Linked DNA regions of Rattus norvegicus. The protein of the gene in region 1 interacts with the protein of each later gene in a pairwise test. Links are inferred from orthologs where the notes say so. Each region holds a gene or a part of one and is shown in the gene's direction. Other genes may lie near its edges.

What was found.
Region 2: the proteins of Exoc1 (region 1) and Traf3ip1 interact in a two-hybrid assay, tested with the Homo sapiens proteins (2 studies listed by BioGRID and IntAct). The link is inferred for Rattus norvegicus from reciprocal best matches to the Homo sapiens genes EXOC1 and TRAF3IP1.
Region 3: the proteins of Exoc1 (region 1) and Sybu interact in a two-hybrid assay, tested with the Homo sapiens proteins (2 studies listed by BioGRID and IntAct). The link is inferred for Rattus norvegicus from reciprocal best matches to the Homo sapiens genes EXOC1 and SYBU.
Region 4: the proteins of Exoc1 (region 1) and Golga4 interact in binary tests that used the Homo sapiens proteins (3 or more experiments, as listed by UniProt). The link is inferred for Rattus norvegicus from reciprocal best matches to the Homo sapiens genes EXOC1 and GOLGA4.
Region 5: the proteins of Exoc1 (region 1) and Trio interact in a two-hybrid assay, tested with the Homo sapiens proteins (2 studies listed by BioGRID and IntAct). The link is inferred for Rattus norvegicus from reciprocal best matches to the Homo sapiens genes EXOC1 and TRIO.
Region 6: the proteins of Exoc1 (region 1) and Trim9 interact in a two-hybrid assay, tested with the Homo sapiens proteins (2 studies listed by BioGRID and IntAct). The link is inferred for Rattus norvegicus from reciprocal best matches to the Homo sapiens genes EXOC1 and TRIM9.
Region 7: the proteins of Exoc1 (region 1) and Ccser2 interact in a two-hybrid assay, tested with the Homo sapiens proteins (2 studies listed by BioGRID and IntAct). The link is inferred for Rattus norvegicus from reciprocal best matches to the Homo sapiens genes EXOC1 and CCSER2.

What each region holds. Positions count from the first base shown.
Region 1 is NC_086032.1:32,007,092-32,011,330, reverse strand, and holds part of Exoc1 (exocyst complex component 1), read left to right. Parts: intron 1-325; 5' UTR 326-335; coding exon 336-459; intron 460-1,708; coding exon 1,709-1,839; intron 1,840-4,239.
Region 2 is NC_086027.1:99,554,323-99,557,481, forward strand, and holds the end of Traf3ip1 (TRAF3-interacting protein 1), read left to right. Parts: coding exon 1-110; intron 111-1,853; coding exon 1,854-2,019; 3' UTR 2,020-2,192; downstream 2,193-3,159.
Region 3 is NC_086025.1:77,770,322-77,774,560, reverse strand, and holds part of Sybu (syntabulin), read left to right. Parts: intron 1-3,005; coding exon 3,006-3,203; intron 3,204-3,323; exon of another isoform or gene 3,324-4,239. UniProt on the Homo sapiens protein: Part of a kinesin motor-adapter complex that is critical for the anterograde axonal transport of active zone components and contributes to activity-dependent presynaptic assembly during neuronal development.
Region 4 is NC_086026.1:127,084,364-127,089,302, forward strand, and holds the start of Golga4 (golgin subfamily A member 4), read left to right. Parts: upstream 1-1,718; coding exon 1,719-1,790; intron 1,791-1,963; exon of another isoform or gene 1,964-2,061; coding exon of another isoform or gene 2,062-2,076; intron 2,077-4,939. UniProt on the Homo sapiens protein: Involved in vesicular trafficking at the Golgi apparatus level. May play a role in delivery of transport vesicles containing GPI-linked proteins from the trans-Golgi network through its interaction with MACF1. Involved in endosome-to-Golgi trafficking.
Region 5 is NC_086020.1:80,412,533-80,416,771, reverse strand, and holds part of Trio (triple functional domain protein), read left to right. Parts: intron 1-498; coding exon 499-691; intron 692-2,847; coding exon 2,848-3,360; intron 3,361-4,239. UniProt on the Homo sapiens protein: Guanine nucleotide exchange factor (GEF) for RHOA and RAC1 GTPases. Involved in coordinating actin remodeling, which is necessary for cell migration and growth. Plays a key role in the regulation of neurite outgrowth and lamellipodia formation.
Region 6 is NC_086024.1:94,495,277-94,498,907, reverse strand, and holds part of Trim9 (E3 ubiquitin-protein ligase TRIM9), read left to right. Parts: intron 1-2,206; coding exon 2,207-2,369; intron 2,370-3,631. UniProt on the Homo sapiens protein: E3 ubiquitin-protein ligase which ubiquitinates itself in cooperation with an E2 enzyme UBE2D2/UBC4 and serves as a targeting signal for proteasomal degradation.
Region 7 is NC_086034.1:12,742,969-12,748,006, reverse strand, and holds the start of Ccser2 (protein FAM190B), read left to right. Parts: upstream 1-2,003; 5' UTR 2,004-2,219; intron 2,220-5,038. UniProt on the Homo sapiens protein: Microtubule-binding protein which might play a role in microtubule bundling.

The sequences.
Region 1 (4,239 bases):
CCTCCAATTACTAGGAAACACTTTTCCAACAGAGCTGTCGCCCCAGCTCTATACCGAACATTTTTTCTATATTTATTGGCTTTTTGCACGTGTCTCTGTGTGTATGCTTGCATATATGTATATATGGGTGTGTGTGTGTGTGTGTGTGTGTACTGGTTTCTCTGATTTCATTTCCAAACTTGAAGCTCCATGCTTCTATGTTATAGATGTATTAATATGTTTATGTATTTATTAAGAATTTATCATTCGAGTCATAAATGGAACACTATGAGGGGGGCGGTGCTTTTGTGAATTAGCTCAACACCTTCTCCTAAATGCTTTTCAGCTGAGAGAAGATGACAGCAATCAAGCACGCACTACAGAGAGACATCTTCACGCCCAACGACGAACGCCTGCTGAGCATCGTGAATGTCTGCAAAGCAGGCAAAAAGAAAAAGAACTGTTTTCTGTGTGCCACAGGTCGGTGTTTATTCAGCAAAAATGTGTACTAGATACTTCAGATTTTATTGTGTTTTGGTCGGGATTGCTTTTAAGCTATCATTTAAGTTGTAGGGACTTGCGTTTTTTAATGATGTTTGTTTCCATGAATATGCTTATTTTCTGTGTTGGTAAGCCTTGCTACTTTCTTTTTAAAGTTTTGCACCTTTTTATATTTGTTACAAGGTATTCTTACGTCTGTGTGCTGTTACCAGTTATAATGTAAGATATGATGAAACAAAATTGTATCTTTTTTAAATACACTGTTAGCAATATACTGGTTTAAGACTTTGCTTCCATGTTCTTTATTTGTGTGTAGTTTTCCTCTTGCTACCTTCAGCTGGTTAGCCATAGTTATTAAATAACCAGTGCGTGCCCCTTGCCTTCTCACTAGAATGGTTGTGTGCTTGGAGTTATTCTCTTCTTGAAAACTTTGCAGGAGAAGCAGGTGGCAGTGCTGGACCAGTGTGGGGAGGTGGGGTGATGACACATTTTTGCCCAGCAAGTGCAGTTTAGTGGACATCTTTTCCAAATATTCCTAATCCTGTTACCCTTTAACACAGTTCCTCATGTTGTGGTGACCCCAATCATAACGTTTTTCTTGCTGCTTCGTAACTGTAATTTTGTTTTTATATATCTGTTTTCCGATGGTCTTATGTGGCCCCCAGGTTGAGGACCTCTCCTTTAGTCCGTTTGGGTATGTTAAGGTCTTTAAGAGAGTATTGGGGGTTTGTTGTTTGTTGTTTGGAAAGCCATTGCTTTTTAAATGTATCAGCATTCATTTCAGATCCAAACTCCATTCTGTTGCCAGTCATGTTTTGAAAGTAGAAACTAGAGCATGTAACTTCTCTAATGGCGTCCCTTGCTACCTCCACCGCAGTCCTTGAGAAGCTGAGCACCCATCCTCTGTAGTGACTTCATTCCTGGCCATCTCGTCTTTCTTTGTGCTGTCAGGGTTGACTACCCACTGTTGCTCTTTGTGATGGTGTGAGGCGCTTTCAGGACTCTAGGGACTTAATGTGTCAGTCGTTAGATTTCTCCTCCTGCACTCTGTGAAAGAGGCCTGCAGCTGTACCTCTCAGGCATCTCTCTGCCTCCAGCCCTCTAATCTGACTCAGATGATTCCTTTAGGAGTCTCTGACCTCTGTCCAGGCCCCCAAGAGCCACATTTACAGGAAGAGTGAGTAGGTGACTCATGCTAACAGTCGTGTCTGTGTGCTCTGTTCAACAGTGACAACTGAACGCCCCGTGCAGGTGAAGGTGGTCAAAGTCAAGAAATCTGACAAGGGAGATTTCTACAAAAGGCAGATTGCTTGGGCCCTGCGAGACCTTGCTGTGGTAGACGCCAAAGATGCCATCAAAGTATGTTTTCCACAGTCCTTTCTCTTGTGTTCAGGCAGTGTCTTTGCTGTTACACACAGCGTTGTGTGCTGAGGTGATCTAAGCTTTTCTGTGGCTGTAGATCTGCCACCTGCTAGTAGAAAATGCATTCATCTCTACTTCTTCAGCCCCGCTGTTAGACCACTTACAACAATAATAAAACTATGTACATGTGCTGGGACCACTTTTTTACTTTATTAAAGCTACAGTTATGTTTGTGTTCAAACTACATAAACTAGAACAAACTGACCTTAATACTATTTCTTTATTTAAATTAAATATACTTACTAGACAATTCTATAAATCAGTATGGATTTCACAGTAATAGGTTGTGTGAGTTAAGTCTCTAAGATAGTCATTGTTTTGGTAAGACTAAAGCATGTGTGATGTCTGTAAGGGAGGCTTCCTTTTTAATCCTCCCGAATAGGGTGAGGAGTCAGCAGCTGATGGAGCCAATCTGGGTATTGGACATTTGTGGGTCAAATAAAGGAAGTGAGACAGGATTACTCACCTTATTTTGAGGTGATTAAATAAAGTTTTAAGGATATAAGCTTTATACCTTTGTTTGTTTGTACTCAAACTACGAGGACATAGCATAATTCAGTAATCCCATTAAAGGGCTACCTGTGTTCCTGGCAGCTCAAGGCAGTTGTCAGCAGTACCCTGTGACAGTCACTAGCGCTCCCTCTCTTCCTCCACTTCCCTGCTGGCCAGCTATGCCCTGGTCACTGCTGTGCGCCTTTGTAGCACAGTGGGCACCGCAGCGCACCCACCGTGCATTGGTGGGTGGTTCAGAGCAAGGCCTGCACCAATGTAACTGTCAGACCTCTGCGGAACTCCACAAGTCACGCCTGCTTGGCAGAAGGCACAAAGAAGAACAAAATGGTAGTGGCATCTGTACATTTTTCTGGTAAGAAAAAATTTTAGTAAGGTAGTCTTTTCCTAAGAAGCACACAGGATTTAGGGAAACGTATAAAGTGGTTTGACAAGTGTGGAGAGGAAGAGGGAGGAGTATTTGAAAAGAAAGTAGTGTCTTTTTAAACTTCAGTACGTGGTTTCTGATCCTGGGGTGGCAGGAGGAGGAAACGTTCTGGGAAGTCTGAAGAAGTGCACAGGTCAGCAGCTTTGCAGACATGCGCCGTGAAGTTCACTCAGCAATGCCCAGCACGGCTCAGACAGACTTCTCTCTGCTGGCTTGTCTGTGTCCTGGGTTTTTGTGTGTTTGTTTCATTTATGTAAGCATCTTGGTGTGTGTTTACTGTAGATGGATATAAAATGGGGAATCTCCATGCTGAGCCTGGGAGTAGCCGTTTCGGATCATGCATTGATTGGTGTGGATGCCACACTGAACACTCGGCCTCATTGCTGGCGTGTGGGACTTTGCCAGTGCTCTTGGATAACTTTGTACATAGTAAAGTGACTCCTTTTCATCATAAATACAAGTTTTCACTTAAAATTAGTTTATTCCATTGGGGTGGGGCACATGTGCCATGGTGGCGTGCGTGTGGAGGTTAGCAGACAATTGGTGGGAGCGTCCTGTCCTTCCACCACGTTCAGCAGGTTGTGAGATTGTCAGCCTTTTCCTGCTGAGCCAGCCCACCAGTTCAGGTTGTCAGCTTCTTGGATATGTAAGCTCTGTTTGTTCAGACGTACGTTGAATACATTGCTAATTTTACCCCTCTCTTATATGACTATGATGTGAAAAGTCAAGTCCTATCCCTTAAAATACCCCATTCTTCAAAGTAATGGTCTCTAACTTTTCTTTCCTTGAAAGTTATTGACCTCCCCTCCCCCTTATCTTTGTAGCCTATAGACCATTAATATGTTAGAATATATTACTGTCCTATCCTGAAGTGCATTTGAGTCTACATTTCAATTCTTTGGAAGTGCACAAGACTATACAGTCATGATTGATTTCCACAGAATACTCAAGTAGTCCTAATTGAGAAAGACATACTGCTGTGCAGTGGCTGTTCTGGTTAGTTTTTGTCAACTGACACAAACTAGAGTCACCTGGAAGGAAGGAACTTCAACCGAGGAAGTGCCTCCATCCAGTTGGCCTCTCGGCATATCCGGCATATCCGGCGTATCCGGCATATCCGGCATATCCGGCGTATCTAGCGTATCCGTATGGCATTTTCTTGCTTGTTGATTCAGGTGGGCGGGCCCAGCCCACCTTGGGTGGTGGCGTCCTGGGCAGTTGGTCCTTGGAGGTGTACTAAAGGGAGCCGAATGGGAGCAGGCCAGTCAGCAGCTTTCCTTCATGGTCCCTGCCCTGACTTCCCACTGTGGGAGCTGTGGGATCTTCCTTCCCGAGTTGGTTTGGTCAGAGTTCTATCACAGCAACAGTGAAGCAAACTGAACTGACCCGCAGACTTGGAG
Region 2 (3,159 bases), on another chromosome or scaffold:
GGAAAGATCATGGACTACATCCAGGAGGATGTGGATGCCATGCAGAATGAGCTGCAGCTGTGGCACAGCGAGAACCGGCAGCATGCCGAGGCCCTGAGCAAGGAGCAGAGGTGGGGGCTGCGGCCAGGGTTTTTGGGGGGGGCGGGCTTCAGAAAGGGAGGGGTGGGAGGCGGGGCTTCAGGAAGGGAGGAGTGGGGGTGGGGCTTCAGGAAGGGAGGGGTGGGAGGCGGGGCTTCAGGAAGGGAGGGGTGGGGGCAGGGCTTCAGGAAGGGAGGGGTGGGGGCAGGGCTTCAGGAAGGGAGGGGCGGGGCCTGAATGAGACACTGACGAACTCAGAATTGTGACTGAAAGGAATAGAATAGCCCCTGGAGACTGAGATTATTAGAGAGGTACCTTTTATATGACCAAACGTGTAGACTTTTTTCCTTCAGAACATGTTATTGATTGAACGATATATCCATAAGTCCATGTTTCATGAAAGCTGAGTTATATTGGGTCTACTCTTCCCTTCCTTCCTTCCCTCCCTTCCTTCCTTCTGCTTTTTTTTTTTTCTTTTTCTTTTTGTCGGAGCTGGGGACCGAACCCAGGGCCTTGCGTTTGCTAGGCAAGTGCTCTACCACTGAGCTAAATCCCCAACCCCTCCTTCTGCTTTTTGCTTTTGTTTTGTTTTGCTTTGTTTTGTTTTTTGAGGCGGGGTCTCACAGTTTAGCCTGGTGTTCACTCTGTAGACCAGGTTGGCCTTGAACTCACAGAGATTACCTACCTTGTGAACATGTGATTAATGGTATGGACCAGCATGCCCAGCTAAAATTGTACTCTTTTTTTTTCCCCCATGTTTTCAAAATAATTTTATAGTAGAATTATATTCCTTTTCCTATTACCCTTCCTCTAACCCCTCAGATTGATAGCAGCTTTTATCATTGTTGCATACAGGTACATATATGTATGTGTATGCACAAATACATAAACACACCACCTAAGTCCTCTTATGTTGTGTGTGTATGGTGTCAGAGCTGACCGATTTTTATTGAACAGCTAATTTGGGGGCTCTTTCTTACTAGTCTGTTATATTAAAAAGTCCTACACATTTTAAAATATGTCACATGATGGAACGTAGGAAATCACCAATAGTATTGATGGTGATTGCAGCATGTACCGTTAGCCCAGAGAGAGCCTCCCTTGTAAAACCTGATCCTGCTCTCCTGCAGCAAAGTGTGTGTGTCGGGTATGGGTGTCTTTGTGTTGTATTAAAAGCCTGAACGGAGAGTGATGTTTGGCTCCAGCATTTTGAGGTATATTCTGTGTTGGGTCCAGTGCTCAGTCCAGCAATGAGGAGGTCACCTGTCCTTGCTGAACACATGAGCCAAGGACCTGGGTAGAGGGAGTCTGTCTAAGCCCTGTGAGCCTTATACTGAGGAGGTGTCTCCTGGTAAGGAGGCACTGGTTCAGGCTATGTTCAGTGTCTGTGGGACCTTAGCCGTCCGTCCACTTTCTTGCTGCCCCAGGGTCTCTTTTGTGTACTTTAAGGACTTCAAGCCTGTCACCAAGATGCTCCTTTTCACTTTACGTTTTAAGGGCTAGGGAAAGAGCTCTGGGAGAGTGCCTGCCTAGCATGTGAAGCCCTGGGTTCCCTCCCTGCTTCCGTAGGAAGTAAACGAATAAGCCATCAGCACCTCAGGCTGGATTGTACTCTAGGCCTGCCAGCTGCAAGGGGTACCTGTTTGCCATTCTTAGGGGTCTGACACGTAAACCCTTGCCTTGGGGTGGAGCCAGCCCTTTGCTGTTCATGGCCTCTGGGCTGGAGTGAGAGGCACAGACAAAGCTGATGACACTCACTGGTTGTTGTCCACCAGCATCACAGACAGTGCGGTGGAGCCCCTGAAGGCTGAGCTGTCTGAGCTGGAACAACAGATCAAAGACCAGCAGGACAAGATCTGTGCGGTGAAGGCCAACATCCTGAAGAATGAGGAGAAGATCCAGAAAATGGTGCACAGTATCAACCTGTCATCACGAAGATGAGTGGCCAGCACTGCAGAGATGGAACCATCCTCCTCATGATGGACAAGGGGGCAGGAACCGCCCCACTGAGCCCTGTCTGCTAAGACGATGGCCTGCTGTGCCCTGACCCAGCTAAGGTCAGAGCTTTCAGTTTAGGCACTAAACTATTAAAAGGCTGTGTTTCCCTCCTTCCAGCTGCGGTACTCACTGCTTACAAATAGCCCCCAGCTCGCCTTTGTGGGAGGGCTTCTTTCTTTGTTTGTTTGTTTTTTTTTTGTTTGTTTGTTTTGGTTTTTTTTTTTTTTTTTTTTGCAAATACGTTTTTTCTGCTGCAGCCTGTTTGACCCTATACCCTAGTTTTAGCAGGTAAGTTGTCTCATCCTACTGGGCAAACAGCAGGCTTTTGTTTCTGCTTTTGTGTTTCCCAGAAGGACTTCATACTGGCATGGAGCAAAGGACAGCTATGTATTTTTGGTGGGTATTTTATAAATAGAATGAGGCCTAAAATGTTTAAATTGCCATTTTATTTCTACCTGAAGGGCGTCATTTCAGCCCATGTCCTTGTAAGGTGCCTGTCGTCTGTGTGGGGTTGCTGCCCTCTTACTGCACAGGCTTCTTTCTGCAGCCTCTGCAGATTTGCTGTCTGCATTTCTATCCCTTAACGCTCATAGGCTGAGAAGGAGGATTTAGCATAGCCTCTATGGGCATTGTGTGATGGGAACCTGTCACAGGCTACCACTGAGGCTTTCTGCAGCCCCCAGCAGCATCCAGCTCACTCCTGATGGATGAGCAGTCCCCTAGGCCACCTTAAGAGGACATTGTCGCATGAAGAGGTAGCATGGTCCTTCTCCGTGAAGGCGTGCTCCGAGAGTTGGGAGTGAGGAGAAACTGTGAGGAAGAGAGTACACCAATTTACAATTTGTGTTTATTTTCCTTTTTTAAAGACCCTTTTTTTTTAAAGTAAAGTTGTTTTTTTTTTAAATGGTTTTTACTCAGTTTTTCACCTTCTGTAAATACTTATTAAGGTCTTGAATTATCGTATAAAGGATCTCTCTGTGTTTGGAGATGTTCTTACTGGCATAAGGTCTGAGGTGTTCCTTACGTTTCTGGGTATTTATTATGTACACTACGTCGAACCCTGGGAAGTGTGAAGACTGCCTT
Region 3 (4,239 bases), on another chromosome or scaffold:
TGGTTCCACTAGAAAAGCCAGGCAGAGAGCACAGGCCACTGTGAGCACTTATTGATCTTTGTCATGTTTATTTGCATTTACTTCTCAGTTGAGACAAAATGTGCAAATAGGATGATATACACAAATTCCCTTTGGCTTCTTCGTCGATTGAATCCAATTGCAGAGTAGACCCAATAACTGTGAGCCCCATCAGTGCCAGAATTTGATACACATTTGTTAAGAAAACCCCTATCTCCTATGGCTATTGTTTTCCCCAACCATGGTAGATAGTGATAAAATGCTTTTAGGAGGTACCCAGAGTCCAAGATTGATTTATATATTTATCTTCTCAATCCTGTCTCCTAGAGATAAGGCTGTAAATGCTCATGGCAAGTGGACCTCGAACTCCAGGTGAAAGATTACTACTGCCTCTCCCACAGTGCCCCAATTGTCAAGTCCTAAATTTTACCTAAACCACAGACAGCACGCAATCCCAGGGGCTGCTGAAGTAGCAAGTACTGGAAATGATGCTCTCACACACTTTCTTTACTCAAGAAGGATGTCATAGAACCAAGAAAGACACGTTTGATTCCTATTTAAAACATAATTTCAAATGCTTTTCTAGACACTTATTTCCCAAGTAGAAATCACCTAATTTTACCCCTTTAATTCTGTGTACTTTCAATAAAAGAAAAAGACATTCTAAAGCATAGATTTTTTCTTTATCTGGATGCAGTATCTTTTTAAAAACAACTGGTGGGTCTGATTCACAAGTAAATCATCACAAAGGCAGTATTCAATTTTGAATGCTCTGTCTCCACTCATTTTGAGTTTATCTGCATTGGAATGGGAAAAGTTTCTCTTGGGCAATGCACAGATAGATATATATCGCTGGAGTCTGACCCAGTAAGCAAATTTGCCCCCTGAGAGAGGAACTCTGACTTTTCTTTTTTTTCTTATTTTATTTTATTTTATTTTTTTGCACTGAAGTAAGGGCATGCAAATGGGTGTGTAGGGAGAAGGCACGAATATCATGTGATGGGATAGCTGGACAGTCATATCCCAGAAAGAGGGACTCACCTCTGGAACACAGGACCAAAAGTCACTAGCCACTAAGGAAGGTTATAGCACATTTGCACACACAGTGTGCTAACTACCATTCACTTTTAAAAACAAACTGTGGAGGTTCCCATTAAAAGTAATGTGTCCAAAAGTTTTTTTTAAAAAACAATAAATAATGCATTGTCTTGAAGTGCCAGGTTCATTTTGTTCCAGGAACTGGGATATTTCATAATAAAAATAAAGTAGAAGCCAGAAATGAAGCAATGGCAATTCCTTTATAGAGAAAGCCTAGGCATGAGTCATGTGGTCCTTGGATTTCATTCGTCCCTACTTCCATCCTGCCCTTATTCCAGCTGTGGAGACCCAGGATAGCCTACCGTAGATGGCACATCACTCTGGGCACTCTAATGCTCAAAATAACTCAATAGTTCTAAGATTATTAATGGTATGTACCCATCTTACAAACTTTAGTTAACTTGGTAAAGTAATTCTGAAATCAAAATAACTTTATTTTGTAAAAACAGTTCCAATAACAAACATTTACTATTTTGCTAAGTATGTATATTTTAAAGTAATCCTCAATTTGGTCCTAAATTCTTGTGAAATTCTCATTAGAGCTTAAATGAATGAGTCAGCCATCCTAAATACTTTAGCAAATAAGGAAAGCATTTATAAGAGAAAACAACGTGAGCTCTCTGATGCTTAATGGGCACCTGCACTGATCACTCCATAATGCACACATTAGCATAATACAATGAATGACCTTAGTTATATTTAGTCATAAAGAAATTTAGTGTTTATTTTTCCAGTTTACTACAGCTAGGAGTAGATCTGTTTGGACTATTTTTGGTTGGATATATGTACTTATAATGTCTTTCTGTTTCTTTGAACTTTTAAACTCAGAGGCTCACTGGAAATCTACTATCCGGATGACAGGCCATCTGATCAAAAAGCTTAGGCAATGTCAGTAATATCCAAGTAATTCTATTTTCCTAACAAAAACAATTCTGAAAAGTGCAAGCTAATTACTTAGAATTTTTCTTCTGAATTTTTAAAATATTTACCCCATTCAAGCACCTGTGGTCAGCAAGGTATGACAGCACACACTTTTAGTCCCAGTGCTTGGGAGGTAGGGAAAGATGGATTTCTGTGAGTTCCAGGCCAGCCAGGGAAACCTAGTGGGACTTTGTCTCAATCACAAAACCAAAAAGCAAAAACAAACAAACAAAACCCAAAACTGAAATTTGTGGATGGACCAAAATTATACCACATAAAATATTCAAGTTGGCCTATGCTTTGAATAAAAAATGTATGTTACAGAAGTCTTCATGATGATAAGATATATGACTGGCTGGTTTTGCGTCAACTCGATACAAGCTAGTGTCATCGGAGAAGAGAAAGCCTCTGTTGAGAAAATGCTCCCATGAGATCCAGCTGGGAAGCATTTTCTCAATTAGTGATCAGCTGGGAAGAGTCCAGCGCATTGTGGGTAGTTCTATCCCTGGCTGATAGTCCTGGGTTCTATAAGAAAGCAGGCTGAGCGAGTCAGTAAGCAGTACCCTGTTATGGCTCCTGCCTCAGCTCCTGCCTCCAGGATCCCGACCTGTTTGAGTTCCTGTCCTGACTTCCTTCAGTAATGAAAAGCAATATGGAAGCTTGAGCCAACTAAACCCTTTCCTCCCCATCTTGCTCTTTGGTCATGGTGTTTTGTCACAGCAATAGAAACTCTAACTAAGATGGTATATCTTTAAAGTGTTTCCTTAAAAGAGTATTTTCTTTGCCAATGTGAGTAGCCAACATATGGGGAAAACAAACAAACAAAAAAACAAAAGAAGGATCCATAAGAGAGTCATGCCCAGTTTAGTTGGGTCCTCCAAGCAGCTCACTCATTCATGAGCATGTGAAACCTGCATAGCTGGCATCCCTGTGCCATGACTCGAAACTTATGGATTTCTGTCTCCTAGACGACACAGGTTGTCCCAGCAGCCAGTCGGTATCCCCTGTGAAGACTCCCTCAGACACTGGACACAGTCCCATTGGCTTTTGCCCTGGAAGTGATGAAGATTTTACCAGGAAGAAATGCAGGATTGGGATGGTTGGTGAGGGAAATATCCAATCAGCTCGTTATAAAAAAGAATCCAAGGGAGGCATCATAAAGCCAGGTAAGTACCCTTACTAGTCATCTTTAAGACATTATTTCTTTTATTTTTTGAGATTAATATATGAGATTATAAAACTAAATATATGTATATGTAATTAAATTGTATATGTTTTATATATAATTGAGATATATTATCTATATAATTAAATATGAGATTATAATATAATTAAATTTCTGCTTTCCTCTCCTTGCCCCAAACCCTCTCATCTATGTCTCTTTGCTCCTTTTCAAATTAATGCCCTTTTTTTTCATTAATTGTTGTTCTATACATATGTTTGTCTATATACATATATCTAAGCATATCTGCTTAGCTGTATAATATTATATGTGTATATGTTTTCAGCGATGACCGTTTGGTATTAGATAATGAGTTGGTGTGTTCTTCCTTCAAGGAGATATAGTGCAGTCAGTGAGATTTCCACTAAAACCTGCCTATCAAATCAGAAATGATGGTACCCAGGACCCAGACAGCTTTTTAAGGGATGTAGCAGGTAGAATAAAATATTTAATGCAATAGTTGCTGGTAATTAAGTACAGTGTGTAACCATCATAGACAGGTGGTTTTTTTTTTTGTATGTTTGTTTGTGTTTTAGAATCTGGTTTATTAAGGTGTGTGAATCCTGATTAAATGACCCTTGACCAAAGGCATCACTAGAAACAGACCTTCTGAGTTCATTGTTCATAGGCACGAACACTACCTAAGAAATCTTTTGTTGATCTTTTTACTTGCATTTTCTCAGTCATGTATGTACAGTTTCAAACATTGTCATTGTGAAAGTCCCCTCTGCTTTTGAATGGAGTCCAATTCTGTAAATTCCTTGGATGAGAAAAATTGCCTACATTGTCTCTGAACTTTGGGCTGAGTAAGCCTGTCCGCCTCATAAATATAGAGAGAGGAAATCCAGGAAGCAAGGCCCTTGGATGACTCTTACAGTCAACACGATGCAGAGGCTTAGGTTGTTAAAGCTCAGGAAGGTCCTGCTCTCAGGTTAAAATAAAGCCATTTGTTACCCACAGCCCCACCAGACCCTTAGCCA
Region 4 (4,939 bases), on another chromosome or scaffold:
TGGCAATGTGACTGCCATTGGAAGTTGAGGGCAGTCTTGTGGGACTGAGGCCTAAACCTGTGAGATCTGGTATTCTCTCTATCTCTCTCTGTCTCTCTGTGTATCTCCCTGTCTCTCTGTATCTATCTCTGTCTCTGTCTCTCTCTCTCTGAGTCAGGGTCTCACTATGCAGTGTACCCCTGTCTGGCCTGGAACTCACAGGGATCAACTAGCCTCAGCCTCCCAGGTGATAGGATTAAAAGTGTGCGCCCCGCCACACCAGTTCTTAATGTTCAGTCCAAAGAATCAGAATGGAATGGATGTCATCCAGGTAGGGGATGAGACCTAGAGTTTTGAAATATCATATGAGATATGAGTCTTCATGAGCAGAGGTCACAGAAATATTCTTTGTTGTGCAAGTGTAGAAGACTCTCTGACAGATGGAAAAGTCTACTTTGGTGTGCAGTCACAATACTAAGCACTAAAGGCAGACAGTTCTGACTAGGTAGAAAATTGTGCACCTGTAGACCTCAGGCATCCTGGAGGCAGGAAAATCAATTTAGCAAACAAATTCAAGGTCCGTCTGCATGACACAGCCAGACTGTTGGTTTACATTTTTGACAGGATCTCACTGTAGCTCACACTGGCCTTAACTCATGACATAGGCAAGAACAACCTTGAACTTCTGGTTCTACTGTTTCTACTTCTAGGTGCTGGGATTACAGGTGTACACAACCACACCCAGTTTATGAGGTGCTGATGCTAGATCCAAGTCCTCCTGCATATGCTAGGCAAGCATTCCACATCCTCAGCCCTGGATTTTCTCTTTAAACCAACCAAACCGACCAACAAATCAACCAACCAACCAACGAACCAACCAGCCAACTAACCAACCAACCAACGTACCAGCCAGCCAACTAACCAACCAACCAACTAACCAACCAACTAACCAACTAACCAACCAACTAACCAACCAACCAGCTAACCAACCAACCAACCAACCACCCAACTAACCAACCAACCAGCTAGCCAACCAATGAACCAACGAACCAACCAGCCAACTAACCAACCAACCAGCTAACCAACCAACCAACGAACCAACCAGCCAACTAACCAACCAACCAGCTAGTCAACCAACGAACCAACTAGTCATCCATCCATCCATCCATCCATCCATCCATCCATCCATCCATCCATCCATCCATCCATCCATCCAATCAACCAGACAATCCACTATCCAAAAACCCTTAGAGAGAATTCTAAATTATTGTGCCAAGCGACACTGAATACATACACTCCTGCATTTCTAGCTCTATCCCCTCTCACCCCTGCCTTCCTCACTGTGGTGCTCAGTGGCGCGATGCTCCCTATCTGACTCCACAGCTCCAAGACCTCAGTTAGCGTCAGCGCGGGAGCTACGGTGCACGCGCGTTCACCCACACCACCCATATTGTCCACCGTGGCGTTCCGTAGCAGGCCCTTGGCAAGCTCCACGTCGGCCGCGCAGGCGCCTAGGGCGCGTTCACCTGCTGCCGTTGTCGCCGCCGCCGCCGCCGCTGACGGGGCTGGATGGGGGGCCGAGGCCAGCCAGGGGCACCCAGAAAGAAGAGACGCGGCGGCGGCGACGCCGACACCCGCACGACAAGCGCCCCGAGGTGCCCGCGAGCTCCACAGGAAGGCGGCGAGGCCCGGGCCCGGCCTCCCCGTGGGTAGAGACGCCGCCGACCCCTCGCCGCGCCATGTTCAAGAAGCTGAAGCAGAAGATCAGCGAGGAGCAGCAGCAGCTGCAGCAGGCGCTAGCCCCTGCTCAGGTACGCTGTCCCCCTGCGCCAAGGCTCGGAGGGCGGGGTAAAGTTCGTCCGTGACCTTTGACCTCCGCCCCGGGGCTTTACCCCCAAACCTTAGGCCAGGAAGGTTTTGGACCGTCTAGGTCGTGTAGGAACCCTGACCTGGTTTCTCCCAACCAAACTCCGTCCCTGTGCAGGGCGAAGGGACCCGTCGCGACATTTGACCCCTAAGTTTTCCCCGTAAGAACCGACAGGATCTGAGAAATGAGTGCGATGGGTTCCGGTCCTGCGTGGGATGTTTCTCTTACGGGTAAGGGACCCTGACTCTAGAGTGGTGACGGGGGTGGGGCAGCCCAGGTCCTCTGTGATATTTAACCTCTGACCTCTGTCCGAGGTCCCCCTCCGTGTTCACTGGACATTGCACCCGGAATAGCCAGGTCCCTGTAAGTCTCCTGCTTCCAAACCAAACCCTGATTGAGGCACTGAGTTGAGCCTTCCCGGGCCAGGCTGCTCGCAGGAGCCGAGGGCGGCGGTCCAGCGACCAAGCCTGTCACGAGTTAGTCACTTCGCATAACTTGGGCGATGGCGGACAGGGCGCAGAGGCAGACGCTGAACAGGACGGGCACGGAGCCTGTCGGTAGTAGCCGTGTTCTTGCGTCTTTTCAGGACCGCCATTGCTTTTTAGTATGCTTTTTAGTATGGAGTATGGTTCCGGGTTGGGAAAAGGGGGCGTGTTCGTGTTAGAAACAAACTAATCCTTCCCGGCACTCAGGGTTTCAGCGCTGAGGGTGTGAGTGACAGTAGGGGAGGGCTTCTGTTGAATCTCTCCCCAGTCTTTCTGAGTATCAGTGGATGGAGCACGAACGGCTTTACTTTTATGGTTCCTAGACACCTAGAAAGCCCATGGTTCAAGAAAGGTCGCAGTTTGGGTGCTTAAATATAACGACCCAGCTTTCTGTTTCTAGAAACATATTCTGAGAAGATTTAGGATGCAAAAAGATTTAGTTACGCCGTTCTCTTCACTTTCTCTCTCTCTCTCTCTCTCTCTCTCTCTCTCTCTCTCTCTCTCTCTCTCTCTGTGTGTGTGTGTGTGTGTGTGTGTGTGGCTTTTGTGCGTGTGGTGGCCAGAGGACAACCATAGTGTCATTACTCAGGCATTGCCCTTTTCATTTTACTATTTAAAAAATATTATTATTTATTTATGTGTGTGAGTGTCTTGTCTGTATGTGTGTCTGTATACTGTGTGCATGTTTACTGTCCACAGAGGCCAGAAGAGGGTGTTGGATCCCAGGAACTTGAGTAATACATGGTTGTCAGTCATTATGTGGGTGCTGGGAACTGAACCTTGGTTGGTCCTCTGCAAAAACAAGTGCTCTTAACCTCTGAGCCATCTCTCCAACAGACCCCCTGACCTGGGATTCACCAAATAGGCTGGGCTCTCTGGCCAGCCAGTCCGGGGAATCCACCTGTGCCTCGGAGCACTGGCTTCCCAGAGTGTGCCAGCACACCTGTCGTTTTAACCTGGATTCTGAGATGGAGCTCAGGCAAGCGCGTCTGAACTGCCTTGCTAGCCCTGGTGCTGCTTCCATGGTCACACTCTGGGGCCGATAGAGTTGGCTGCATGCATTCTTCCCAGGCTACTGTGCAGCTGTAAAAATGAACATGGACTTGGACCTCTGCTCACCTTTTCTTTAGTAGTTAATGTAGATTACTTAAACCTCATAACTCCATGAGGTACATGTTATTCCTCCTACAGATGAAGGTGTGTTGAGGGCCCCAAAATAACCTAATTGCTACATAGTATCAGAGCTGCAAACAAGTATTATTTACATAGAATGACAGATGTTACAAGAGACAAGTGCATGTGTGAGTTGTGGCCCAGTGTTTGTGGCAAAAAGAAACGTATTTTAATAAGTGGCATGGCTGACACCTGTAATCTCAGCATTTGGGAAGAATTTCATATTCAAATACAGTCTGAGCAACACATCAAGCCCATGTTCCCCAAAAGCACACCAGGAAAACTGTGTGTGTGTGTGTGTGTGTGTGTGTGTGTGTGTGTGTGTAGTGAAAATACAAGTCTGAAAGAATATACCGTAAGATATCCTATTAATAGGATGAAGTATCGCTAAGATACATAATATACTTTTTCCTATTTAATGTTGAACTTTTCTCTAAAAATGAACTGAAGCTCTTGAGTAGGAAGGGAGTTTTAGAAAGCTTGTTGCAAGTTAAGCTATTGGAGCTCCCAGTTCTTGTAGCTTAATATCCTTAGAGAAGCGAGCATCTGGGTCAGACACAACCCTATAAATAAGACTTAATATCCTATAGGTAAGACTTAATATCCTATAGGTAAGACTTAATATCCTTAGAGAAGTAAGCATCTGGGTCAGACACAACCCTATAGGTAAGACTTAAGTAACCTTCTAAAATAATTATTTTTTTAGTTTTTAGGTAGGGTTTTTCTTTGTAGCCCTGGTCTGGGACTCACTCTGTAAACCAGGGTCTGGCCTCAAATTTAGTGACCCCCCTACCATTGCCACCTGAGTGCTGGGAGTAAATGCCCATGCCATGTCCCTTGAAGGATTTAATGAGATAGGAAAGGTTCTCTGTGCTCACTCTTAGGTTGGCTCCTGCCCCTGCTCTAAGCAGCTCATCAGCACTCAGCTTCTTCTTGTTTTTGGTTACGTTTTGTACTTTGTAAGTTTCTCATTGTGTACTGTTGGTTTTCTCCCTGCTTTTTGAACTACTGTGAGCTTTGAAATAACACACATAAACTTTGTGTGAATTAAAGGTAATTACCTGAGGGGTTCTACAGTGCGTTTTAGTGTAGAAACCTGAGTTTGGGCATTCAGTTTGTTTGGTTCTCTAGAAGCTGTTACGTGCGTGCTTTCTGGTTCTTAGCTTGATTATCTTGGTCTGTGTGTCCAGTGAATTCCTGGCAGATGCTGGTGGTTTCGAGTAAACTTTTCAAATCTTCCATACAGTGGCAATAGTGATAGTGTATAGGGCTAGTCAGCCTCCCTTGTCTGCCTGCACCCTGCCTGCCTTCCTAGGTCAAAATAATTTAACACGATAGCCTCCAATTCCTAGTAATTTCTGTGCATCGATGCTAAGGTTGTTTGAACTTTCTTAGTGGCCACCATTTTTTTAAGTAACTATTTGCTCACCAGATC
Region 5 (4,239 bases), on another chromosome or scaffold:
TTGGCCTTATTCCCTGGAGTGTCTCTGAACCTGGAACTAGGCTGCAGTCAGCCGTCCCCAGATCCTGCTGTCTTCATCCTCCACAGTGCTCGGTTACAGGAAGGCAGGGCCAGACCCAGTGGTTTTCGGTTTTTTGTTTGTTTGTTTGTTTGTTTGTTTGTTTGGTTTTTTGTTTGTTTGTTTTGTTTGTTTTTGCTTTTTTGTTTTCCCTCTTATTTTGTTTGAGTGCTTTGCCTGCCTGTCTATCCCCTGTTCCATGCAGTAATCATGAAGGCCAGAAGAGGGCCTCAGATCCCTTAGGACTGGAGTCACCAATGTCAGGGAGCTACCACATCAATGCTGGGAAAGGAACCTGGGTCCTCTGCTTTTCACCCTAATACATGCTAGTTGTGAATGTGGGTGCTTGGGGATGTGAGCTCTGGTCCTCACACTTACACAGCAAGGGCTCCAGCAGCTGGGCCGTCTCACTCACTCATCAGCCTCTTTCCTGCCCTGCAGCGAGGAAGTCTGCAAGCGAGGGTTCACGGTGATTGTGGACATGCGCGGCTCCAAGTGGGACTCCATCAAACCACTGTTGAAGATCCTGCAGGAGTCCTTCCCCTGCTGCATCCACATCGCCCTGATAATCAAGCCCGACAACTTCTGGCAGAAACAGAGGACGAATTTTGGCAGTTCCAAATTTGAATTTGAGGTAACACTCCAGGTAGTCACATCCTAAACTCACAGGCACAGTCTGTGATAAGCCAGTGCATCCCCACCACAGTGGGCTGATGGCATGGCAGGTCTTTACAGCCAAGCCTTGAGTGTGGCCTAGCTAGCCGCCTTATGTGTGTATGGTAAACATTGGTTAATGCTTAAAGTAGATGCCTTCGTCCCTTTTCCCCGTGTGGTGGCTTTTGGCACAGGGGTTTGGACTTCAGTTCTTTGGGATTAGGGTGTGGGGCCATGGTAGCTTGGAAGGAGAAGCCTGTTCTCATCACCTCACTTGAACAGCTCCCCCTGTCAGCACTGGGCCGAGTGACTGCAGATGTGTGGTGACTGCTGCATCCTGGGCATGAGGGAATATGAGGGGCATTGAGCCCATCTGGTCATCGATAGTGGGGAGACTCCTCAGCCACTCTACATGTCGTCTTGTAAAAGTGTACGGAGTCTTTGAGAACTGTAGAGCTCTGCATTCAGCTGGGCCTAGACGATGGCTGTCAGACGGTTATAAAAAGTAAACCAAAGCCTGCTAATTTATTTTCTTTCCCACTGAGAGCCGCCTCTCCTTAAGCCACCACAGTTCTGACAAGGCTTTTGATGTGGTCAGTTTAATGGGATGATTAGAGGAGAAAGTATCCCAGCCGGCTTGAAGCTTGGCTCAGGTCCTGTTCTGTAATAGGACAGGGATAGTTTCTCGTTATAAATTATAACCGTTCCTGGTGGACAGAAAAGCCTGCTGTCCTGCCGTCTCTGCCGTGATATTAGGCTGTAAAAGATTTCGGTGTAAAAGAATCGTGTTTTAAGGTAAACAATATTCCACAGTGAAACAACATCAGTTGTACTTGTCAACATGTCTCCTCCTGTGTACTACTTGGATTTTAAAATACCTTCCCACAATGCTGAGTTTCCTCTCTGGAGTTAAACTCTGGCTTTATTGGAAACTGCTTTGAAGTGGTCTAAGTGAAATAGAAAGCACACTTTATCCTCATACTCAATAAGTAGTCATTTTGGAAGATAATTTACTGGCTCTTAGTATTTGCTTAGTGGAAAATTTAAAGTGTAATGCATTTTAATTATACATGTTTTAAACAAAAAAAACCCCAGTAGTTTGCATTCATATAAGTATTTACTGATGTTACTTATTAGTCTCTTACTCTGGGCTCCTGAAGGTGCCTGCCTGTTTTCCTCCTGACCTGGTTGTCCCTGTGTGGTTCTCTCTCTCTCTCTCTCTCTCTCTCTCTCTCTCTCTCTCTCTCTCTCTCTCTTTCTCTCTCTCTCTCTCTCTCTCTCTCTCTCTCTCTCTCTCTCTCTCTCTGTGCGTGTGCGTGTGTGTGTGTGTGTGTGTGTCTGCCTCCATGCAGGTTACTGATGATCCAGCAGATGGATAAGAAAAAGCCCATTGTAGCACTGTAGGCTAAAGGCAGTGCAGGCTTGAGCTGCTCTTTCCAGCCTGTTGCCATGTGCTGTTTCTTAATCCAGCCAGCACGGAGATGTCAGTTCTGAGTGTGCGTCAGAGGTGGCAGAGGTTGGGTAGCGGGTCTGTTTTTCTTTCAGTTCTAGACCAGCTAAGTTTCCCTTGTGTTCGCATTTCACACACACACACACACACACACACACACACACACACACACACACACACCCCAGTGTGCTTCCTTTTCACTTACCTCAGATGAGGTTGAGAGTTCTGGCTTAGACTGGGATAAACTGAAGCTTCCTTAGTGTTAAATTGGGTTGCAGGACAGGCTGTGTACAGTGGTTAGGCTGTACAGATGTGTGGCAACCCCAGGGAAGCTGGCATTCCCAGTGTCTTTACCCTGTGAAAACATTTTCAACAACTCTTGTGAGGCATTAATAAGACTACGATTTAGGTTTTTCTCGTTCTTCAAGTGAAATCCAGTTGACTTGGAGCTTGTGAAAATTACAGTTCTATGCTGCTGGGCATTCTCCCTCACATGCTACTTCCGTGGAGTTTTTCATTGCATGGATAATGAGTCTCCCTCTGTATTCCGGGAGGCAGAACCAGACATTGACTGGGTCTTTGTACGCAGGTTATTCTTTACTTAGGGAACCTCTGTGTGACCACTGTAAGTTATAGGATGTGATCACATGGTTCATCTTCTCATACATGTTTCTTTCCTCCCCAAGACAAATATGGTCTCTTTAGAAGGCCTTACCAAAGTGGTTGACCCCTCCCAGCTAACCCCTGAGTTTGATGGCTGCCTAGAGTACAACCATGAGGAATGGATAGAAATCCGAGTAGCTTTTGAGGACTACATTAGCAATGCAGCCCACATGCTGTCCCGGCTAGAGGAACTTCAGGACGTCCTTGCAAAAAAGGAGTTACCTCAGGACCTAGAGGGGGCTCGGAACATGATTGACGAGCATTCTCAGCTGAAGAAGAAGGTGATCAAGGCTCCCATCGAGGACTTGGACTTAGAGGGGCAGAAGCTGCTTCAGCGGATCCAGAGCAGCGAGAGTTTTCCCAAAAAGAACTCAGGCTCGGGCAATGCAGACCTGCAGAACCTCTTGCCCAAGGTGTCCACCATGCTTGACAGGCTGCACTCGACTCGGCAGCACCTGCACCAGATGTGGCACGTGAGGAAACTGAAGTTGGACCAGTGCTTCCAGCTGCGGCTGTTCGAACAGGATGCTGAGAAGGTAAAGGTGGGGAGGGCCGTGCAGCCCGACAGGGGCTGCTGCTGGGTTGGTGGGTCTCACAGCCAAGACTGACGTGACAAGGTGAGAAACCAGAAGGTCTATGTTACAACGATCACACCACAGCAAAGGCCATCCAGAGACCTCGCTTACATCTGGCTTCCAGTTTTACTCACAGTGCAGTGCCTGAGGCAGTGTGAGCTGAAGCTGCCGATGCTTCTGTGAGAAGTGCCAGAAAGGCAAGGGTGATGTTGTTGTTGTTAAAAGTACAAATTCATGATTGTATTCTTTTTTTTTTTTTTTCGGAGCTGGGGATCATGATTGTATTCTTAAAAGCAACAATTTAATATATAGATTTTCTGGTACCTTCCCGCTCTTCAAACAAAGCCATCAAACCCTTTCAGACCGGTACCTGTGTCCTTAATAACAAGAGAGTGAGGCCATTAAAAACACGTTTCTCTGTGATCCAAGCAGTACTGCTCCGTGTTCTCATGTGCTATTCTTGTGCGCTAGAGACAGCAGCTGGCCAAAGGGAACGCCCATTCATCAGCAGCTAATGTATTCTTTGCAATGTCAAAGAAAAGGACACTTGCAAACAAGCCATGAGCATAGGTGAAGTAATCCCTCTTAACTTACAGTCATTGAGTTTTCTCTTTTCATGGGCTGGCAAACTTATTGCAGAGTAATAAAAGCATATTAGAAATTTTTGATACAGTACATTAAAAGGACCTTCAGTCAGGTGACAATATCACTGGGTTACAGGAGACCTAGGCTTAAAACGCTCAAGTCTTTTAAAATATTTTTGTTACTTTTATTGTTTGCATTTGCTCAGGTTTCTGTGTCAGCTGTTGGTTATCTGCAAGGGTCCTGATGCAGACACCC
Region 6 (3,631 bases), on another chromosome or scaffold:
ACCTAGGACTTAACCACAAAAGTGTTTGGGGCCAAGGTACTTCAATTTTTTTTTCTGAATTCTGGTTTGTCAATTCTCCAAATTCATATAATAATATGTTTCCATGCAGGAGAGGTCTGAAGACTACATGAGATGAGATTTGCAAAAATGTCTCCCGTTGGAAGTGCCTGGAAATGGAAGCCATTCTTGTTACTATCATTATCAGCAATACCGCTTCTCAGAATAGAAGCCATTAACTAAACTTGGTGTTAGAGATGCCAGTCCGGAGAGCTCTAAATGAGAAGGATTTGCTTGTTAGTGTGAGAATTAGAGCACCCAGTCTGCTGAAGGGAGAATAGTATCTCCTTAAGCAATGCCCTCTATCAACAAGATATTGACAATTTTAATTCAATATACCCTATAATCTCCCTTTCAATTTGTGGTCTCTTCAGTGGATTTCACTCATCATTTCTGGAGCCAAAGGTGTCTTTTGATGACACTGGTCTGTCTTAATCACCCTCAGGATACATTTCTCTTTGGTGTCTCTGGAAAAAAATTAGTTATGTTCAGTGAAATCAGAGGGAAAGCAGGCCCAGCAAGGGCAGAATAATGACCTCACTCTCTCAGCCTCTCCTGTCAGATCACCACTGATGCTTTGCTAACCAGTAGACTCCTAGAGCTTCCCGGTCCTCGGACATTCTCTGTCCTGTTCCATTCGGTCTGTCTTAGTGGCTATCCCTTGAACTGAGCACCCAAAGCAATTTATCTTGGTATCGAATCCAAGTGGCTACAGAGAGCAATTATCTTCAGCGATCCATACCAGGGGAGACTCCGTTACTCGGTCCCTGATACCATGACCCAAACATCCCTGATTCCATCACCTGTACACTTGTGTTTAGCCCCTTGACTCCAGAGTGGTGGGATAAACAATAGTAACACCATCACACGATGCAGAACAGCACATTTCAGAAGCCGAACACATCTCCTTGCATGCAAACTGAATGTGGCTTGTGCTGTCGCTGACAAACTTGTATATAGCAAGATGTAGTCCTTAAGCCCGTCCGTGGCGGTGTCCAGTCTGTCTTCTGCATGCAGGAGAAAGGAGTGGTGTTTCTAAATGTCTGTGCTCTGCTGAGATGGAATTCTGTTTTGCTAGACCTCACACTAAGGAGAGGAGACAGACCGGGCTGGCTGTCTCTGTGCAGTCATCACTTGCATCAGAAGACACGGTTCTTTGTAAGATGATGTTTGTACTTGGGTTGGAAATCACAAATTCCCTGCAGCATAATTATGTCTCAGGGAAGCATCTCGCCCAGTGCTGTCACTTTACAGAGAGAACCTAATGTCTTCATTCAAAGTCAATGTGCTGAAAGATTAGCGTCGTTCCGGAGTGAGCTTCACTGCCTCGTGGGAAGCAGAAGGCTCGGAGTCCAGTATCTCATCATATATGCTCTGGGCTTGACCTAAGTGCTTCTTTATTGTGACTTTCCAGTTAAATCATTTTGTATGAAATGCTGCTGAAGTCGTACTGTACATGCTAAGTGCACAGCATAGCTAGTGCACCGTGGGAGCTTAAAGGCTGTTTGGGCCCAGTCTTTGGTATCGTCTGCTACTGCAGCTCAGTAGCAGAAAGTCATTGATAACAATTCTCTCTCAGCAAGGCACAGTAAACAAGGGACTGTCATGAGGGGTGGCTGTCTCTGCGGGGGGGGGGTGGGAATTTGGGAGAGCAAAGCATCTAAATCATATGTTATTGTGGGAAGCACAGACACACAGAATATAAATACCACATAGTATATCTAAGGCTTTAAGGTTTTCGTATGAAAAGGGTTACTTAGAGCAAAAATGTGTTTTTAAGAAGCTGACAAAAGTGGAGTGGGGGTGTAAGGAGGTTACACTGGGCCTGGTGGGACAGGCCTATAGTCCCATCTTCTGGGAAGGCAGGAAGACTGCAAGTTTAAAGCTTGCCCGGGCTATCATGGAAGTCCGAGGCCAGCCTGGTCAATTTGGTAAGACCCTGTCTCAAAATAAAAAGTAAAAAAGAAAAAGGTCTGGGGTAAAACCCAGTGACAGAGCACTGGCCTACCACACGCTAAAGGCAACCCCCAGTGCCAGAAAGCAAAGGGGAAACGCAGCAAAGGGGAAACGCAGCATGGTTCATGGAGCTGCAAGCAGGAGATGCAAAATGAAAGCAAGCGGATGAGACTCCACTTTCCTTTTCCCACAGAACTGAAGGAGGGATCACAAAAGGGGCCACTATCGGGGTCCTCCTCGACTTAAACAGAAAGACATTAACGTTTTTCGTCAACAATGAACAGCAAGGCCCCATAGCCTTTGAGAATGTGGAGGGCCTGTTCTTTCCTGCCGTCAGCCTGAACAGGAATGTACAGGTAAGCGCCTGTCCCCAGGTCTAAGGGCTTGCTCAGGCTGCTGCTTCAAAGTCTGCCCCTCCCCCAACCCCCAGCTCTAAGAGGGAAGCTGGTACAAGGCCCAGAGTGAGACACACTACAGACTCCTTCCCACGTGGCTGCCACAGTCTAGTTAGCCACCCATGGGAGGCAGAAGCCACCTCTGCCCTATTTACTGTTGGTTTTGTCTCTAAGGGCTACTGAGATAACACCTACCCGGCAGGCACCAGGAATGCCTGAGAAGAGCAAACATTAGACACTTCTCGGCAGCTGCTTCTCATCCTTCACTCTGCATTGTGCTGCGGGCTGGGAAGCAGCAGCCCTGCCTGTGAATTAGATAGCTGCAGTTCCCCATAGATTCAGAACAGGTCCTTCCCTGACTCAACAGACAGCTGCAGGGATCCTTTAACCCGCCAGGCTCCACTGTAAACATTTGCTATCTATCGGTGGGAGAGGAAAGCAGATACAAATCTTACCTTCCTGAAGTTGTGTGCTAGCCACAGACGATAATCTATGTCCACGGGGTGTTATTTATAAGGGACGTTAGAGGGTCCGAGTATGGTAAAGGGGTCCACGGTGCTGGGGATATGCTAAATAAATAGCCTTAAGCAGGGTGGTCAGTCAGCCGGTCTTCGGCTGTTTATCTGAGTCCTGCAGGAGGGAAGGTAGCAGGCTGTGTAGATTTCCAAACAGAAGGCACAGCCCAGACTTAGACTTTTCTAAGGCACGAGCGGTTTTGGGTGGGCAGAGAGTGGTAAAGAGGCTAGTGGGCGAGGGCAGGGAGCAGACAGAGGGGCCTTCAGAATATGCAAGGACTGTGGGTGACGTCCTGCCAACCACTGTTAGAATCCAGGGCTTCACTGCCCTCCTGACTGGGCCTCTTATTACTCCATATAAACCTCACTAACCTTAGAATGGGACTTGAGAATCAAAACACTGTAGAGAGTTCGTGCCCTAGCTACAGCCACGGTCTTTAAAACTCTCTTAAATTGATTACTGTCTATGAGCAGATGTAGGAAAACTGCATACAATCTGAGACATCTGCTTTCCAGCATTGTGGGATTGATTGTCTGAGGGGCTGGAATTTAATTCTCCAGAGGCCAGCATGCACATCAGAAGACAGAAATCCTTAAATACCTGTAGAAGGCAACCTAAGGAAAGCCTGCTTCAAAGTTTTCCACCGTTTCAGCCATCTCCCTTCCAAAGACTATCATACTGATCGTGCTTCATGAATTTTAAGGATA
Region 7 (5,038 bases), on another chromosome or scaffold:
CCAGTATTCTCTCTGATCTAAATAACCCACCGTCATTTATCAAACAACTCGAGAGGTATCCATGCTTTAGAATCCTCTGACATTACCTACGCTAGCCATTCTCAAGACATCCCTGCGTCTTTACCTTCCTATTCCACATACATTCCAATAATAGCTTTGGTCTGGATTTTTCCCTTTACTCCCAGACACACCCAGTGCCACTCCATATGCCCCTACATGACATGGCATCCCATCTTTCAGGAAATGTAAGCCATGAAAATAATCTTTCAGAACACTGACTTCACCATGTCATCTCAGTCGTCCTGTAAATTAAAACCCTGGGGGCATACATTGAAAGAAGTGCCTAATAGAAATAGAAGCACGGTGACAACCAAGGAAGTGAGAAAATTGGGACAAAGACAAAAACGGGAACACAGAAAATGAGATGAAGCCTGTAAAAATTCATATGTAGCAAGCATTCTGTGAGGATCCTACCTTTGTGGAAGAAAGGGAAGTGATGACCTACCACGTCAAACAGCCAAAGAAAATACATGCTTACCTCAAATATTCCGGGAGTCACAAGACAACAGCCAAGTGGTTCAGAAAAGCAAAGCTCATCTTGGTTTGGGGAACTGAAAGATCATCCTCCCCCCTCCCAGAGTCTTTATAAAGCGGATTGGACCTGTTGCATCTTGCGTAGCTCCCAAGGACAATCTGTGAAGAGCCCCTTTTTCCCCATCTCTCAACTGATCTTTGATTGTAGCATAAAGTTCAAAGCATAGCATAAATTCATGAGTGTTGTGCTGGAGCCTGTATTTCAGAGGTCTGAGGCTTTGCTCTCCTAATGATTTACTTAATCTACAAAGAAATGTACTACATGTAACCCTAGTCTTTTCCAACATTTTATCACCCACAAAATTAAGTCTCCCTATCATTATTCTATTGGCCAATTAAAGAGACAAGTAATAATGGAACGTATAAAAAAGAGAGCTATTCAATATGGCCACATAGGGAATTGGAGGAAGAAAAGGGGTCCAGTTACCACCAAGTCCGCCTTCAGGAGTACTGACAAGAAGTTTAAGTTTAAATAGAGAGCTAGAAATAGTGGTAAATTGAATACTCCGCTAGGTTACGGTGCGGTATTGCTGACCTAGCGTTGTTTCAGCTCACTCAAGGCTATCTCGCGAAGTGATCTGAGACCTCAGAGCTGCAATTCCTGAGAGGCAAGCTCCTTCTCCGGACGGCGCTAGGCCTTCGGTATTGTTTTCATTTCTCCAGGATGAATTATCTATTTTCTTAAATTATTTGGAGTATAATGTTCCAACAGTCTGATGGACTAAGGGAGGGGCACAAGTGTCTCCTCCCCTATCACAGCGTAATTATGTTAGTGGTCTGGAGGAGAGGTGGTGCCTTTCCAAGTTCTCTTTCAATGTTATTAATTTCATTTGAGCTGTTGGGGCTAGTGAGGGGAACAGGCAGTCTAGGGTCAGATAAATAATCACTTTCAACGCTTATAATAGATAGCCAGATACTGCAGGCTTGCACGGTAACTCTCAATGACTTGGAGAGATGATTTATGGAATGGGATTGAGATCCACACCCTCATAAGATAGCTCCTTTTCTCAGCTCTCAGCGTTTTATCGCAATCTCTGCTCAGATTCAGTATGCCTGGCTGAGGCATAGCCACAGACAGGCCAAAACAAAGTCATGGTTGCTTCAGATCACTCCTAGTAGTCTGGAGCAGGAGCTGACAGGTTTGGTCGTGGTCAAGCAGCACATTTGAATCCAGAGGGCCATTTTGAGTTGGTCGGCCAAGAGACTGGAGTGAAAGGTTCATACCAGAAAAGACCTGAGTCAGGGGGCAAAGATGCAAGGTCAGTGGATCAGGGCGGAGCCTGGGAACGGCTGGCGCGAGGGTGGGGCGGGCCCGGAGGCGGGCCTAGCCCAGTGAGACTCGCGCCTGCGCAAGGACTGTCCGGGAGGCGGGGCGACGCACGCGTAGTGCGCGGGCCCTGGAGGGCGGAGTCCAGGAGGTGCCGGCCAAGGGAGGGGGCGCGGCGACGGTGAAGTCCGGCGCTCCCGCAGGCCGTGGAGGCGATGCTGGCTGCTGCGGAGCAGGCAGCTGGGCGGACGGGGATGTGACGGGACTGTCCTTCGCCTCTCTCCTACCCTCGGGCCGGCAGGTCGCTGGGCGACCCGCAGCCGGGCCGCGGCCGAGGAGGCAGCGCGACCTCCGCACGGTGAGAGTCGGGGGTCAGGGCCGGGGTCTCGGGACGCTGGAGGCTACCTGGCTCCCGGGCGCAGCGCGGGCGGAACGAGGGCCGGGTGTCCTTGGGCGTCGGTGCTCTGGGACGACCCTCGGAGCCCCCGCCCCCTCTCCCGAGCCTCCTGCGGTGCAGCGGGCAGGCCGGATGCCCCTGCTCGGTGGTGCTGAGACGGGAAGGGACCGCGGGACACCCGGGCTGCAGCCTTCCTGCACCGGGAAATCAGGGCGAGGCTTAGATGCCCTGGGATTTCAAAGCCTAGATGCTCGCGTTGGTAAGGGGAAGTACCTGAGAGCCCTGAATGAGTGGGATTTTTTTTTTTTTTGAAATCACTGAGTCAAAACAAAGACACGCCCTAAAACACATGAGAACTTTGGATTACACCGTATCTGTAGGTTCAGATGCTTTTTCCCCCTCCTCTCCCTCTTTTGACATCTATTTTTATACAGTTTTAAAATGTACCTACTTTCTTGACAAAGTAAAGGGAGGGGGTAATCCATTTGGGGTGGTCGTTGGTGATAAAGCCTGATTTTGAATTTCAATAATTGCAAATTCATCTTTGCTGACTACCTAGCCAATTAGGTTTGCTGATCATAAAGTAGGCCTTAGCAATGGAAATTCCTAGTGCACAGATTCTTTGCTGTCCAAGATTGGAGTGTCCTATTTCGCTTAAGGAGAAACCAGGTGTGGAGGCTTCACGCCTTTATCCTGGCATCCAGGAAGCAGAGGCAGGTGGATTTCTGTGAGCTCCAGGCTAGCCTAGCCCATAGAGCAAACTCCAGAATAGCAAAAACTACTTAGACCTTGTCTCAAAAGAAAACCCAGAGGGTTGGGGAGGGCGGTTATGAATGAGAATGAACATTTCCTTTTTTTCCCAGAGTAGCTGTTTGATAAAGCATTTTGTTTTTTTATCGAGAACATTAAGTATTAATGGAATATATGTATTTAGACAGTTGATCAGCGTATCATCATTTAGATTTAAAAAACTTTAAACAAATTGAATGAGGAGGATAAGTATAAAGTAGGTATTATAATGTATAATCTATAATTGGTAAGGATGTAAACATTAATAAGTGGTTTGCATGGGTGAAGTCAGTCTTCTTTCCAGACTTTATTAATGTTTGTCTCTCTTAATTTGTTAGAGCGCATCGCCCTTCTCTTATATGGTGGTTTTCTTCCTTGTTCTCAACAACACTGGCCTCAATCTCTAGGTTAAAAACACTTAGAACCCTTAACCTGTAATTTGTCCTGTTTAATATGCCATAACAAGAAAGCTAGGAGCTGTCCTGGGACCAGGAACTTTTTTTATTTACCTTCCCTCAGGTAGATTTTTTTTTTTTGCTGGTTGCCAGATTGCTTTTACTATGTGGGGGAAGAAGAGACTTTTAATTTCATGGTTCCAATTCCATTCCTTCAGTCTTTCCCAGTTTCTGGTGTCTGTCTGCATTCTCAATTCATCTACTGTTACACAGGTCCTCTCTCTGGGACTGTTTGCAGTTTACTGAAGATGGCATCTTCCTTTGTTTCCTGGCTCCAGAATGGCCTTCCTAGTAAACACCTTGCATTCCCACTAGAGTGATAGAGCTTGACGTCTGGGCATCTCATCTCTTGTTTTCACTGATCCAGTAGCACCATGCCAGGCTGCACTGAGTACTTCATCAATTGGGAGTTAATGATTTGCTTATATATTGTCTCCCTCAGGCTTTCGAGTGTCTTTTTAAGTTTACTGCTACAGCACATACTGCTCAAATCTGTTTACTCAGTGCATTCTGAGGAGAGGGTCCAGGCTCGAATGCAGATTTAGGGTGAGCTAAATATGTTTGGACTGTCTTTCAGTACCAGAAAGTTGAGGGGAAAAAAAAATCAGTATTTTAAAAAAAATGATTTTTAGAAAAATTTTACGTATTTGGTGTTTTGCCCGCTTTTCTGTCTGCGTGTGGGTGCCAGAGCTCCGGGAACTGGAGTTACAGACGGTTGGAAGATGACATATGGCTGCTGGGAATTGAACTGGGGTACTTTGAAAGAGCCGCCAATGCTATTAACTGCGGAGCCATCTCTCCAGCCCCAACATTACTGCTTGTATTTGCTTAAGGATGAAGTAAAAACGGGTACTGGTTAGGAATGACATCCTCGTTATGATGGGGAAAAAGTCAGTCTACTTGAAGATGGAGGAATGAAGACCATGGCAAGTAAGGGTCGGTCTAGAACTTTATTTTGAGGTGCAGGGGTTTGCCCACAGTTATGGCTAGAAAGGGACAGATCTGGGAACATAGATGTCCTTTGGCCATCCTTCTAGTTCACTCTTACTCCCCTCTATCCTAATTCTAATTACATTTTTTAACCCAGGCTAGCCCAGAACTCACTGGGTTGTTCAGCTTAGGCTGAGCTCAGATCTCTGCAGCCCCTCCTCATCCCCCAGGCTTCGCAGTGTTAGGTTTACAGAAATGAGGCATCAGTGCCTGGCTTCTAATTTCTAATAAAGGGATCACCGTCTTGGTGCGATATGAGAGAAATGGATATTTATTATAAAAGGGCTGTATTGGATATTAGGTTGGAAAGACTTAGCAGATTATTTGGTTCACTGATGAAATAACTTTGAACAACTAAAGCATGGACAAGCAAGCAGCTTGCCTCTGTCTCCACGAACCTCTGTGTCACAGCTTCTGACCTCGTGTTTGCTTGCTCCTCACTGTTCTGGACCGCAGTCCTTGTGCTTTCCTCCTCCCTAGCTGCCACTCCTAGGGACGGACCGAAAGCCCTTGAGTGGCTGGGAAACATGATACCTCGTTTGGGAA